Linked DNA regions of Oryzias latipes. The protein of the gene in region 3 interacts with the protein of the main gene of each other region in a pairwise test. Links are inferred from orthologs where the notes say so. Each region holds a gene or a part of one and is shown on either strand. Other genes may lie near its edges.

Region 1 (3,756 bases), on a different chromosome or scaffold from region 3:
GCCGTTTCTTTAAACCAAAAGAACATGGACTGGACATTGTTTCCCACAATGCATTTCATTTTTGTAGTTAAATTGGACGTGTAAGGGCATATACATATATAGAAAACAAAATACCTTGTCTCTAGAGTCTAGAGGGACTCGAACTTACAATCTTTGAATCTCTTGTCAACGATTTATTTAGACATCCACTCTGCAAAAGCTGCTTGTTGATAGAGTTCAAGCTCGCTAATTCTTGGAATTGATTTCCAATCAAATCACACATTTTTGCTGATGGGGTTACCTGTTGCAGGTGCTAAAGGTATTTTTCATTTGGTGGTTTATACTAGATGTCCTCCGTTGTAGGTAAACCAGCTGTGTTTTTCCGCTAATGGAAACGTGTAGTAAAATAACAAGTAAATCCCCTTTAATCTAACAATTAAAAAGTTATTTATGTGTGTTCATCTTTTAAATCAACAGTCAGATTTTTTAATATTGTCAATACATCTGTATTTTTCACATAAATAATTTATTTTATGTTATTCTGCTGTAGTACATTAAATAGACCATTATGATGTTTTAATGTGCAAAATCTCCAAAGTTTAATTTAGTGTATATTTCCGTTAGTAACAAATGTCATATACTATTAGGCATGCATATTTCACACATGGCAGAAGAGATCATGAAAGCCACGAGGCCGACATAAAACCTCCAAAATCGCACACGTTCCAAGCGGGGCTCGAACTTGCAACTTCAGGGTGTGTGTTATGAAAGTTGGAAACTTTATATCGACTTACGGGCGCTGTCCTTTTCCCACAATGCATCACGTGTTTGTAGTTAACGCAGTATTTGAGGCGCATAAACTGTAAAAGTAAAAAAGTGCGACTCTGGTGGGACTCGAACCCACAACCTTTGAATCTCTTTTGATCGATTTAGCTAGAAGTCCAATGCGCTATCCATTGCGCCACAGAGCCGGTTGGTCGAGTCAAGGTCTGCATAGAAAGCAAAATTTTCAACATTCGTGACTGACTGTCGGCGTTGGAAAGTTTAAGGATCAAACATTCAAACAGAAAAACACGCTTCGACATTATTTTTTAAATCTGTCTCTATATATTTATACGTATGTATATGGATAAAAAGGACCTTTTGAAATGCAGCGGAAAATCAGTCCGTCATTTCCGGTGCTGACCGGAAGTAGTTAGCTGTTAGCGGAGATAGCCGGGTGACTTGTGTTGAGGTTGAAGAACAAACACAAAGACATGTCTGATCAAACGATAAACCTGATAGTCAACTACGGTAAGAAAACGTTTTGAATTTTAAACAAACGGAGACTGAAGCGGCTCCGAGTCTTAGATGTGACTGTAGCTCAGAAATCCTTTGCTTGTTGTTGTGTAGCCCAAACGCAAAAACCGGTTCTAGGAAAAACTTCTGCTGATCATGATGTGAAATGAACTATTTACTGTTAGGCATTGAATGTCTCAGCAAACTGCTTTACCTGTCTGCTCAAAATTCGAATTATGTTCATTTTTAATTGTGGATTCATAACAAATATAACGTGTCATCAAATGCTAAAAATAGCAGAAAAAAGGTTCAAATCAAAAGACTAATGAGGATCAGACTCTACAAATGGGTTTGATTATAATAAACTTTCAAGAAGTCTCACTTCATTACAGATTTTAAATGAAATAAATTGTAATTGATTAATTTTTGTTGGCTTCACAACTGAGGTTTGGCGATATGAATTCACACAAACCTGTTTTATTTATGTTCACAACGTTATGACAACTGCATGAATGTCTGTTGATCAGGTTCAGTAAAACACAACATCAAACTAACGAGTCCAGATGACGGCAACGGGCCGGCAGTGAAGGATTTATCAGAAGCTGTCTGTCAGGCCACCGGCGTTCCCCCCGCCTCTCAAAAACTCATCTTCAAAGGTTTGGGTTTGACCTACATTCTTTTTTTTTTTTTTTTTTGAATGCATCCCATAATTAGGCCTTGACTCCATGTCGCGGCATTGTGATAGTTTCTGAAAACGAAGATCTAAAGTGATCAACCAGCTGAGCGTTGTTGCAGTGTCGTGGTGATGCAGACAAAAACGGTTGTCGTGGTTACCAGTTTCTTTAATTTGCTAAAAACTATACATAAGGAAGACCAAATCTTTATTTCTGTATTTTCTTTGACTTGGTGCGTCTGCAATTTTTTGCTAACATATTCTTCTTTCTTCAGGGAAGTCTCTGAAAGAGATGGACGAGAGGCTTTCCACCTACGGGATCAAAGACGGCTGCAAACTCATGATGATCGGGAAACGGGTAAGACGCTCGGGCGCCGCCCCTGATTGAGTTGGCGTGCGCACATCCCACTGACAACGCTGTACAAACAGAACAGTCCGGAGGAAGAAGCTGAGCTGAAGAAGCTGAAAGACATTGAGAAGTCGGTGGAAGTGACCGCCAAGAAGCTGGAGAAGGTGGACGGGGAGTTGACGGGACTGAAGAACGTGAGCCACAGATCCTGGAGGGAGAAAAGCATCGTCAGATGGGTCGTTTCTTTGAGGTTTCACCTCTTTTCTTTGCTCTGCAGGGCTTCTTGGCCAAAGACCTCCAAGCTGAGGCTTTGAGCAAACTTGACCAGAGAGTTAAAGTTGCTGCTGAGCAGTTCATGAAGATTCTGGAGCAGATAGACGCCATAGTAATCTCTTTTTGGATTGAGCTTTTTATCCCTCGAGTGTTGGTCATTTCTAACACACTCCTCTCTCTCTCTCTCTTTCCTCTAAAGTCTGTCCCGGAGAATTTTAACGACTTCAGAGTGAAGAAAAGGGGCCTCATAAAAACCGTGCAGGTTAGCCAGTAGGTTTCTTTTTTTCTGCTTTTACTGACGACGCTAAAAAAAATTGACTCCTATTTTTCTGTTTTTCGTGGCCTCAGGACTTCCTGGCCCAGTGCGACAGGCTGGAGGCGGGTATATCAGACCACCTATCAAAGACCCAGTCCAAGAACTTGGCTCTGGCAGACTGAAGCTGCTTCCCTTACTGTGTGCTATCTGTTGCTCTGTGAGCAAAGTGTACCAACGGCTTCAGATGTGGAGCAGATTTTATTTATTTCTCGGTGTGATGTGCTTCATAACGAAAGGAGACTTTGCTGAGATCATGAGGGTCAGCCGTAGGTGAAGATGCGTCTCAGACTCAGACATGGACTGGAGCGTCGGTGGTGCTTTGATGTTTACCGTAGATCAAATCCTCCGTCTGTCCTGTGGCGTTTTCCTCCCATCGGCCTTCAGCTGTTCCTCTCGGTCGCCGCCAGCCTGATCCACAGAAGTAAGTGAACCCTCTTTAGATGTTTCCACCACGTCAACTTGAAGAGGTTTGTGAATTTACAGAGTTGTATTTTTGTTATAAAAAAAGGAGAAAGTCAAATTAGGCAAATCACATCATCATCAACTGACTTCTACTGTACATGTTCATCAAAATCACGACGACTGCAGAAAAATGAATAAATTTTAAGCCAAAAAGACAGATCTCCAATGTTTGGACGTTTATTTCTGAAGTCCCGCTCCCATCATCTTCTGATCGATTTTCCCAGCATTCCTTAATGATGATGCCATTTTTAGCCAAAATCAGAGTAAGCCAGCCCCCACTTCCCATCGCCCATCCTTTTATACAGTGAGCTTAATGGAAAGACCCACTCTGGGGAAACTGGTGTGTTTCTTTAACCTCTTCTTGGGGCATTTTTCTGATGATGGAGGACAAATATTTAAAAGAAATTCAGCTTAAATTGCAAATCT
Region 2 (3,756 bases), about 22 Mb from region 3:
CCGCTTGTTTTTGTCCAGATGATGAAGCTAAAGGTTGTTTTAAAGAAGCCGTGCAGTGATAAAGAAGATTTAAGATAGGAACTTCTTTCTGGGGCGTGCGGACATCACTGTGCGTTATCCCTCTTACTGCAAACCCAGCAGCCAATCAGAATCGAGTATTCACCCGGACCATAGGGTTGGGCGATGTCCCTTAAATTGGCCGTTGACGATGTTTATTTCCCAATCCGCGATGATCCAGTATAAACTGAGGGAAGTGACTTTAACAAAAAAAGTAACAAACAAAATAGAAGAGAAGTAGTCCGCTCCCGCACTTCCGGGGGAGTGCGGACTTAAAGCTTTGTGTTTGATGGGAAGGGGGGGGGGGGGGGTACATGAGCGGTATGTGTGGGAGATTTAAGACTGCGATCCGTCCCGCAGCTCTAGGGGTACAAGCAACCGAACTCAGAACCGGGTCTAAAAGTGTGTCTGAGCACAGCTCGGATCGTCAGCACACACAGCGGTTTGAGCATCAAAGCAGAAATGTCGCTCAGTCCTTAGAAAACATTCAAACAATCACGTGGATTTGTGTTTCCAGTCGTGTCCCGACTAAATAAAGGCTGATGTTATTCTTACATGTTTACGTGCAGCCAGCAAGCAGCACCATCCAAAGCTAATGTTGTTAGCCCGTGTTAGCATACTAATCCTGGCTTCGTTCAGAAAAAGCACTGACCACACGGATTAAAATTCAAATGATGAGCGAACAGGTGTTTCATAATAACCGTAACATTATTAAAAGCACGTTTAGAAGATCATCTCGTATTTTACCGAGCTGACATGTCAATGTATATAGCCGCTCGGCGCTGTTTAACATTGTTTTGTATTGAATTGTTACATACAATAAAGTTTGAAAAAAAAAAAAGCCGCTCGGCGGAGTTTATATCCTTCCGTTTTTCAAACCCTACTGCGCATGTGCGAATGATTTATTCCGACGGAAAGTGTGACCTTAGTGAACGTTTTTATATTCTAAAAACATTTTTCTGGAACCATGTACACGGTTGGATTCTAATCCGACCATTGATCCCATCAAGATATTTTGTACATGTAACCGCGGCTTATGGTGTCGACGCGCAACGTGGCGGGGGCGTGGCATCACGATGGTGGTCTCTCCATCGGGATGTCAGTCACCCATCACGATGGACGATGATATCGCACAACCCTACCGGACCATGGTATAATTCTGGATATGTTTACTGATATCTAAGTGATTTTGAGAGCTATATGGCGCTCTGTCAAAATGTCACTATGTTTTTTAGGACTTGCAAAAAAGGCTGGGTGTTATTGTAAAAAAAACTAACGTGGCTAACGTGCAGCGGTGTCAGTTAGTTAGCGTAGATCATTTCAGATCAAACCTGTTAAATACTTGTTATATAACAAAATCTGTATAAATTGACACTTTAGCTTACTGTACGTAAAAAAGATTAGTGAAAATAAAAAATAAATAAACCTCACATGTAGCTTATACCAACAAGATGCATTTTTTTTGTCCATTTTCATTCATAGACAGCCATGTTTTGATTTACCGTATACTGGTCTGCTATAGTTTAACGCATTTAGAATATTTGATTCAAGGCTGATGTTTTTCTCAAGTGCGACCGCCCAGCACAAACAGCGATGGAAAATCATCTTCATTAATTCGTGCAGCCAAGATGTGCACTGCTGCATTTGCCCGCATGTATTTTAAGTGCATCCAAGGTTGTTGGCCGCACATATTTAAAATGAAACTTATCTGTCACACAGTAGCTGTGAGAAATGTTTTTTCTGCATCATTTGATCCGTCCCCTGGAGGACGCTGAGCTGCAGAAACACAGCCGCGCTCAGGAACTATTTGGTGGTTTAACCCGAAACCCCAACCATAATACTAACCTTAAGACTTGGGGCCGAGAAAAAAGGTCAGGGCTGGCCCCACGAATTCTGAACATGATGTACGGATGGACACTGTCTTGATTTTTTTTTTTTTTTTATTCACCGGTTTTGACACATCCAGCTTTCCATACATTTGCAGCAGATGGGGGGACTTCTTGCTGGTCTTTCCGTCCCCGGTCCTGTCACAAACGTCGTTTCTACATGGTGGTTGACGCCCCGAACCGAGAGTTCTGGGTCTCCGGAACGAGCAAATGAGCGCGAGGCGTCTCAGAGCCACACGCGTGGAAACTCACGGTCAGCTCGCCGTCCAAACGCAGAGTAGTTCAGCAAACACGTCACGCAAAGAGTGCGTCTGAAGCCCTACCTCAGGAAGAATTTGGATCTGCGGCCGCTCTCATTTCGTGTTCCGTCGCTCTTGGTCCGCTCATTTATTCCCCAGAACCTCCTCCTCCTGCTGCTGTTCAGCTGCTGCCGCCACGCGCGGTTGATTTCTCTGCCGTTCAGATTCAGAACACGTGACAACCTTTTTTCGCAGCTCGTGGGTTCCCGCGGCGTGGCAGCATTGGGTTAGAAACAACCCCCCCAACGTACCTGAGCAGGTACCGCAGATGCCACATGTTTCCAGGACGGATTCCTCCCACGTGGGGAGTTTCTGTACGAACCGAGCAAAAGGGGCGTGTGCGTGCGTGAGTTATTACAGGGATGTAACCATTCCTTTCACCAACAATTCCATTTCTATCACAGCCTTTGGTTGCTGATTCGATTCAAAACTTTGGTTCATTTCAAATGATCCGATTCACTGACCTAAAATGGATCCAGAACATCTTCAGCCAAAACCTCAACCAGTGTGACTCCGAGATAATTCCTGGTTCAATGAAGGTGACGTTTTCCAGATGCAATGGATAACTTTCAAGTGTAAATTAAATATGTGTATAATCACACAAGTAAACCAGAATTGATGATAAACCCATTCACATTATAGTTTCCTAGAGTTCAGTTGTTTTACCACATCCAAAGAATCCAAAGGAAACATTATTAGAACATTCTAGCACACTGGATGGTCACATGACATTCAAAGTGTTTCCACACATTGGACTGGAATGATGGACTGTGGTCAGTTTTCGCTTTCATCACGTCTGTTGTCCACTTTGATGGTACTTGGTTGTTTTTACATCATAGTAAAATAAATCTTTGTTTCAATAAACGGCAATTACCAATATTGATAAAATGAATTTATTTTACTTTGAAAAGATTTTACAGTGATATAGGTCGATTTAATGAAAATTTTGCCTCGGACAAATTGATCTGGTTGGATGGTAGGAATAGAAATCGAATTATTGATTAATCTATTAATCATTACACACTAAATATGTATGTTTGTTTGAGTTTTGTGTGTATTTTAGTGTTTTTCTTAGTGTCTGTGCCTGTTAGTATGTTTGTGTTCAAATGTGTGTGTTATAATAATAATATATAATGTGTGTGTCAATAATATGGGACCCTTTGCAGCATTTATATTCATATTCTTTTTGTTAAATCCTTATAGGGTAAAACATCTGTTAGTTCTAGACAGCATCAAGGTGTTTTGATTTGCTTCGAAAAAATTAAATCACATTTAAATGTTAAATGTATTTTATATAAATTGTTTTTAATTAGAAATGAATGAATGCACTAATGGGTTAATCCCTCACTTCCTAGTAGGAACAAATGATGAGCTTCTGTCTTTTCTTTAATTTGTCAGGATTTACTAAAAACAAATGATTGATCAAACCAGTTCACTGTGGAGTGGTTTCAATAAAAATAAAACCTTCACCACCCTTTGCTTTTCTTCTCCTTTTCTGTCCTTTTTTCTCATTC
Region 3 (3,169 bases):
TCAAATTGATTCTAAAAACATTCTATCACATTTCATATTATGTCACTAATTATGCAAAAGTAAAAATAACATCCATTTGGTTTAAATGTAAATTGTTAAATAAATTGAAATCAAGTCAATCTGATTGGTAGTTCTACTCTGATCCATTTCTTTCTGCTGGAGCCTTAAATTGTGATAGAAAAGGTGAAAAATCATTCATTGATTGAGTAATAGCGGTTTATTTATAGAAGTCTATAGGTTTTTGGCTTCTGGGAGCCAGGATTTACCTCCTGTTTGGGACGCCAGGGGGGAGGAGTCACTCCGTCCAGTTTTCATATGCAGTCAGCTTAAAGTGAGCTTTGCACACAAGCATTTACTACAACTCGACTCTCTGGATGAGGACGACTACAGGACAAGTCTGTGGTGCAATTCCCTCAAAGTGAGTTTACAAAAAAAAGTCTAAAAACAACTTTAGATAAAGTTAAAAAAAAGTCTGTTCCTGCTGTTACTGAGACAATTTCCAGAAGACCCCATCTGCGAAGTTCTTGGTCGATAAAAAAAGAAACTAAAGCTGAGCAAAATCTCCTTTTTCATTTAACCACTATAAGTTAATCAGAAGAATAACAAGTGAAGCACCAACCTTGAGTGTTGAGATAATAGTGTTTCCAGAGCGGCCTCAGCTTATGCTTTCCACCAACGTCCCAGATGGTAAATTTTAAGTTCTTGTACTCGACGGTCTCCACGTTGAAGCCTCAAAAAAGAACCAGAACCAAGTTTCATTCAACTCAATCTTTCAAAGATCGTATGGTTAACCAGTGCAGACGTCTTTACCGATGGTTGGGATGGGCTGCATGAACTCGTCTTGCTTCAGCTTGAATAGAATGGTTGTTTTTCCAGCCCCATCGAGCCCCAGAGTCACCACCCGGATCTCCATCTTTGGTCCGATGTGAACTCGGTTGTCCTGAAGACACGTTTCAGTTTAGCTTTGGGTTTGTCACCGCGAGGCAAAGGTTTCCAAACGCAGACGAAGACCTTGGTGAAGGTGACGGGGATGCCGGCGTCCAGCTGGATGTGGTCTGCCAGCTCCGTGAACTGGTGCTGCTGCTTCTGAAGCGTCTCCAGTAAACAGCTGATCTCCTGCTTTGCCAGAACAACCCTGCAGTCGTCCTGCATCGGGAGAGAAGCCGCACGCAAACACAACACGGTGCTTTCAATGCCTTGGAACGCACCACTCTACTCCTACTGATTCAGAGAAGTTATCATGAACAAAAAAACTGATCCAAATTCTAAAACACACGAACATTTTCAAAATAAGATCAAGGCTCTGTCCAAATTCCCACCATAACCCCTAACTACTAAAAAACTCTATAGTGCTGCACTATGTCGAGCCCTGAATTTTAACAGCAATTCGGACGCCACGCTCACTACTTTTGTTTTAAACGGCGAATATGATGTCATCAATTTCACGAAGTGCTGTGAGCGTTTTGCGACGATTATTTATGAGTCCACTGTCTCCTGAAAATAAAAACATTGATGGTCTATTAAAAAAATACATTTTAACGCATTTATTTTGGTATAAAATGTTCCGACGCAATGCATTGTGGTCTATATTAAATGATATAGTGAGCATCGATGCACACAGGTTTTTTTGCAGAGACTTCAGGGAAATTTCCAGGGCACTGGATTTTGGAATTGTAGATTCGGACAGAACTAGAAAATGCTGAAGGCACTATTTAGTACGGTGGCCCAGAAGGGTCACAACACAACACATTAACTTTACACACAACACATTAACTCACAACACAACACATTAACTTTACACACAACACATTAAATCACAACACAACAAATTAACTTTACACACAACACATTAACTTTACACACAACACATTAACTTTACAACACAACACATTAACTCACAACACAACACATTAATCACAACACAACACAATAACTCACAACACAACACATTAACTCACAACACAACACATTAACTCACAACACAACACAATAACTCACAACACAACACAATAAATTACAACACAACACATTAACTTTACACACAACACATTAACTTTACAACACAACACATTAACTCACAACACAACACATTAATCACAACACAACACAATAACTCACAACACAACACATTAACTCACAACACAACACAATAACTCACAACACAACACATTAACTCACAATACAACACAATAACTCACAACACAACACAATAACTCACAACACATTAACTCACAACACAACACATTAACTCACAACGGAAGTAAAGCTGCAATGGAAGTGCTTTTATTCTGAAATTTCAACTGGGCTGAGCGGCTAACTGCCTCACAGAAAGTAACGTCACAGTGAGCTGTGGAGGGAGCATGATTTTCTACAAGAGAAGCTAGCAGCAGCGTTGCCAGATTGGGCGGTTTTGGGTGTAAATTTGCGGTCAAAAATGCATAATTTGTATGGTTTAAAGGTCGGTTCAGCGGGTTTTTTCCCACTCATGAATATATAATAGCGGCCTACGTTAGGCCGTGTGGCTTTTGGAGTTCTACTGAAGCTCCGTGAACGGCAGAGCTTAATGGACCGGGTTTTGTCATCTAACCTGTTGTTGGGGGAGTGCAACGCCCCGCCTCTTAGAAATTGTGTTCATTAAAGCCTGACAGTGGGGATTTCTCCACATGTGTCGTGTCAAGTGTTGGGGACCGCGTGCGTGTGTGAGAGGAAGAGGGAGGGGAAGAAAGGAGAGGAGCGCGTGCAGGGACTGGGAGGGTGTGTGGGTGGGTGGGGGGTGTTGGGGACCGAGTGAGTGTGAGAGGAGGGGGCTGAAGAACGGAGAGGAGCGGAGCACGCGCAGCGACAGAGAGGGGTGTGAGTGCAGCGCGGAGGAGTGTGCGTTAACATTGTGTAGCTTCTCTTGTAGAAGAAACATGCTCCCTCCACAGCTCACTGTGACGTTACTTTCTGTTAGGCAGTTAGCCAATCAGCCCAGTGGAAATTTCAGAATAAAAGCACTTCCATTGCTGCTTTACTTCCGTTGTGAGTTAATGTGTTGTGTTGTGAGTTAATCTGTTGTGAGTTATTGTGTTGTGTTGTGAGTTAATGTGTTGTGTTGTGAGTTATTGTGTTGTGTTGTGAGTTAATGTGTTGTGAGTTAATGTGTTGTGTTATGAGTTAATGTGTTGTG

What was found.
Region 1: the proteins of trim23 (region 3) and bag1 interact in binary tests that used the Homo sapiens proteins (3 or more experiments, as listed by UniProt). The two-hybrid records come from large-scale screens. The link is inferred for Oryzias latipes from reciprocal best matches to the Homo sapiens genes TRIM23 and BAG1.
Region 2: the proteins of trim23 (region 3) and nek6 interact in binary tests that used the Homo sapiens proteins (3 or more experiments, as listed by UniProt). The link is inferred for Oryzias latipes from reciprocal best matches to the Homo sapiens genes TRIM23 and NEK6.

Annotation. Positions count from the first base shown.
Region 1 is NC_019875.2:29,408,370-29,412,125, forward strand, and holds bag1 (BAG family molecular chaperone regulator 1), read left to right. Parts: upstream 1-1,141; 5' UTR 1,142-1,235; coding exon 1,236-1,272; intron 1,273-1,784; coding exon 1,785-1,913; intron 1,914-2,205; coding exon 2,206-2,288; intron 2,289-2,359; coding exon 2,360-2,473; intron 2,474-2,556; coding exon 2,557-2,664; intron 2,665-2,751; coding exon 2,752-2,814; intron 2,815-2,900; coding exon 2,901-2,990; 3' UTR 2,991-3,489; downstream 3,490-3,756. UniProt on the Homo sapiens protein: Co-chaperone for HSP70 and HSC70 chaperone proteins. Acts as a nucleotide-exchange factor (NEF) promoting the release of ADP from the HSP70 and HSC70 proteins thereby triggering client/substrate protein release.
Region 2 is NC_019870.2:24,939,374-24,943,129, reverse strand, and holds the start of nek6 (serine/threonine-protein kinase Nek6), read right to left. Parts: upstream 2,373-3,756; 5' UTR 2,267-2,372; intron 1,922-2,266; exon of another isoform or gene 1,903-1,921; intron 1-1,902. UniProt on the Homo sapiens protein: Protein kinase which plays an important role in mitotic cell cycle progression. Required for chromosome segregation at metaphase-anaphase transition, robust mitotic spindle formation and cytokinesis.
Region 3 is NC_019870.2:3,055,338-3,058,506, forward strand, and holds part of trim23 (E3 ubiquitin-protein ligase TRIM23), read right to left. Parts: intron 1,147-3,169; coding exon 1,012-1,146; intron 941-1,011; coding exon 811-940; intron 731-810; coding exon 620-730; intron 1-619.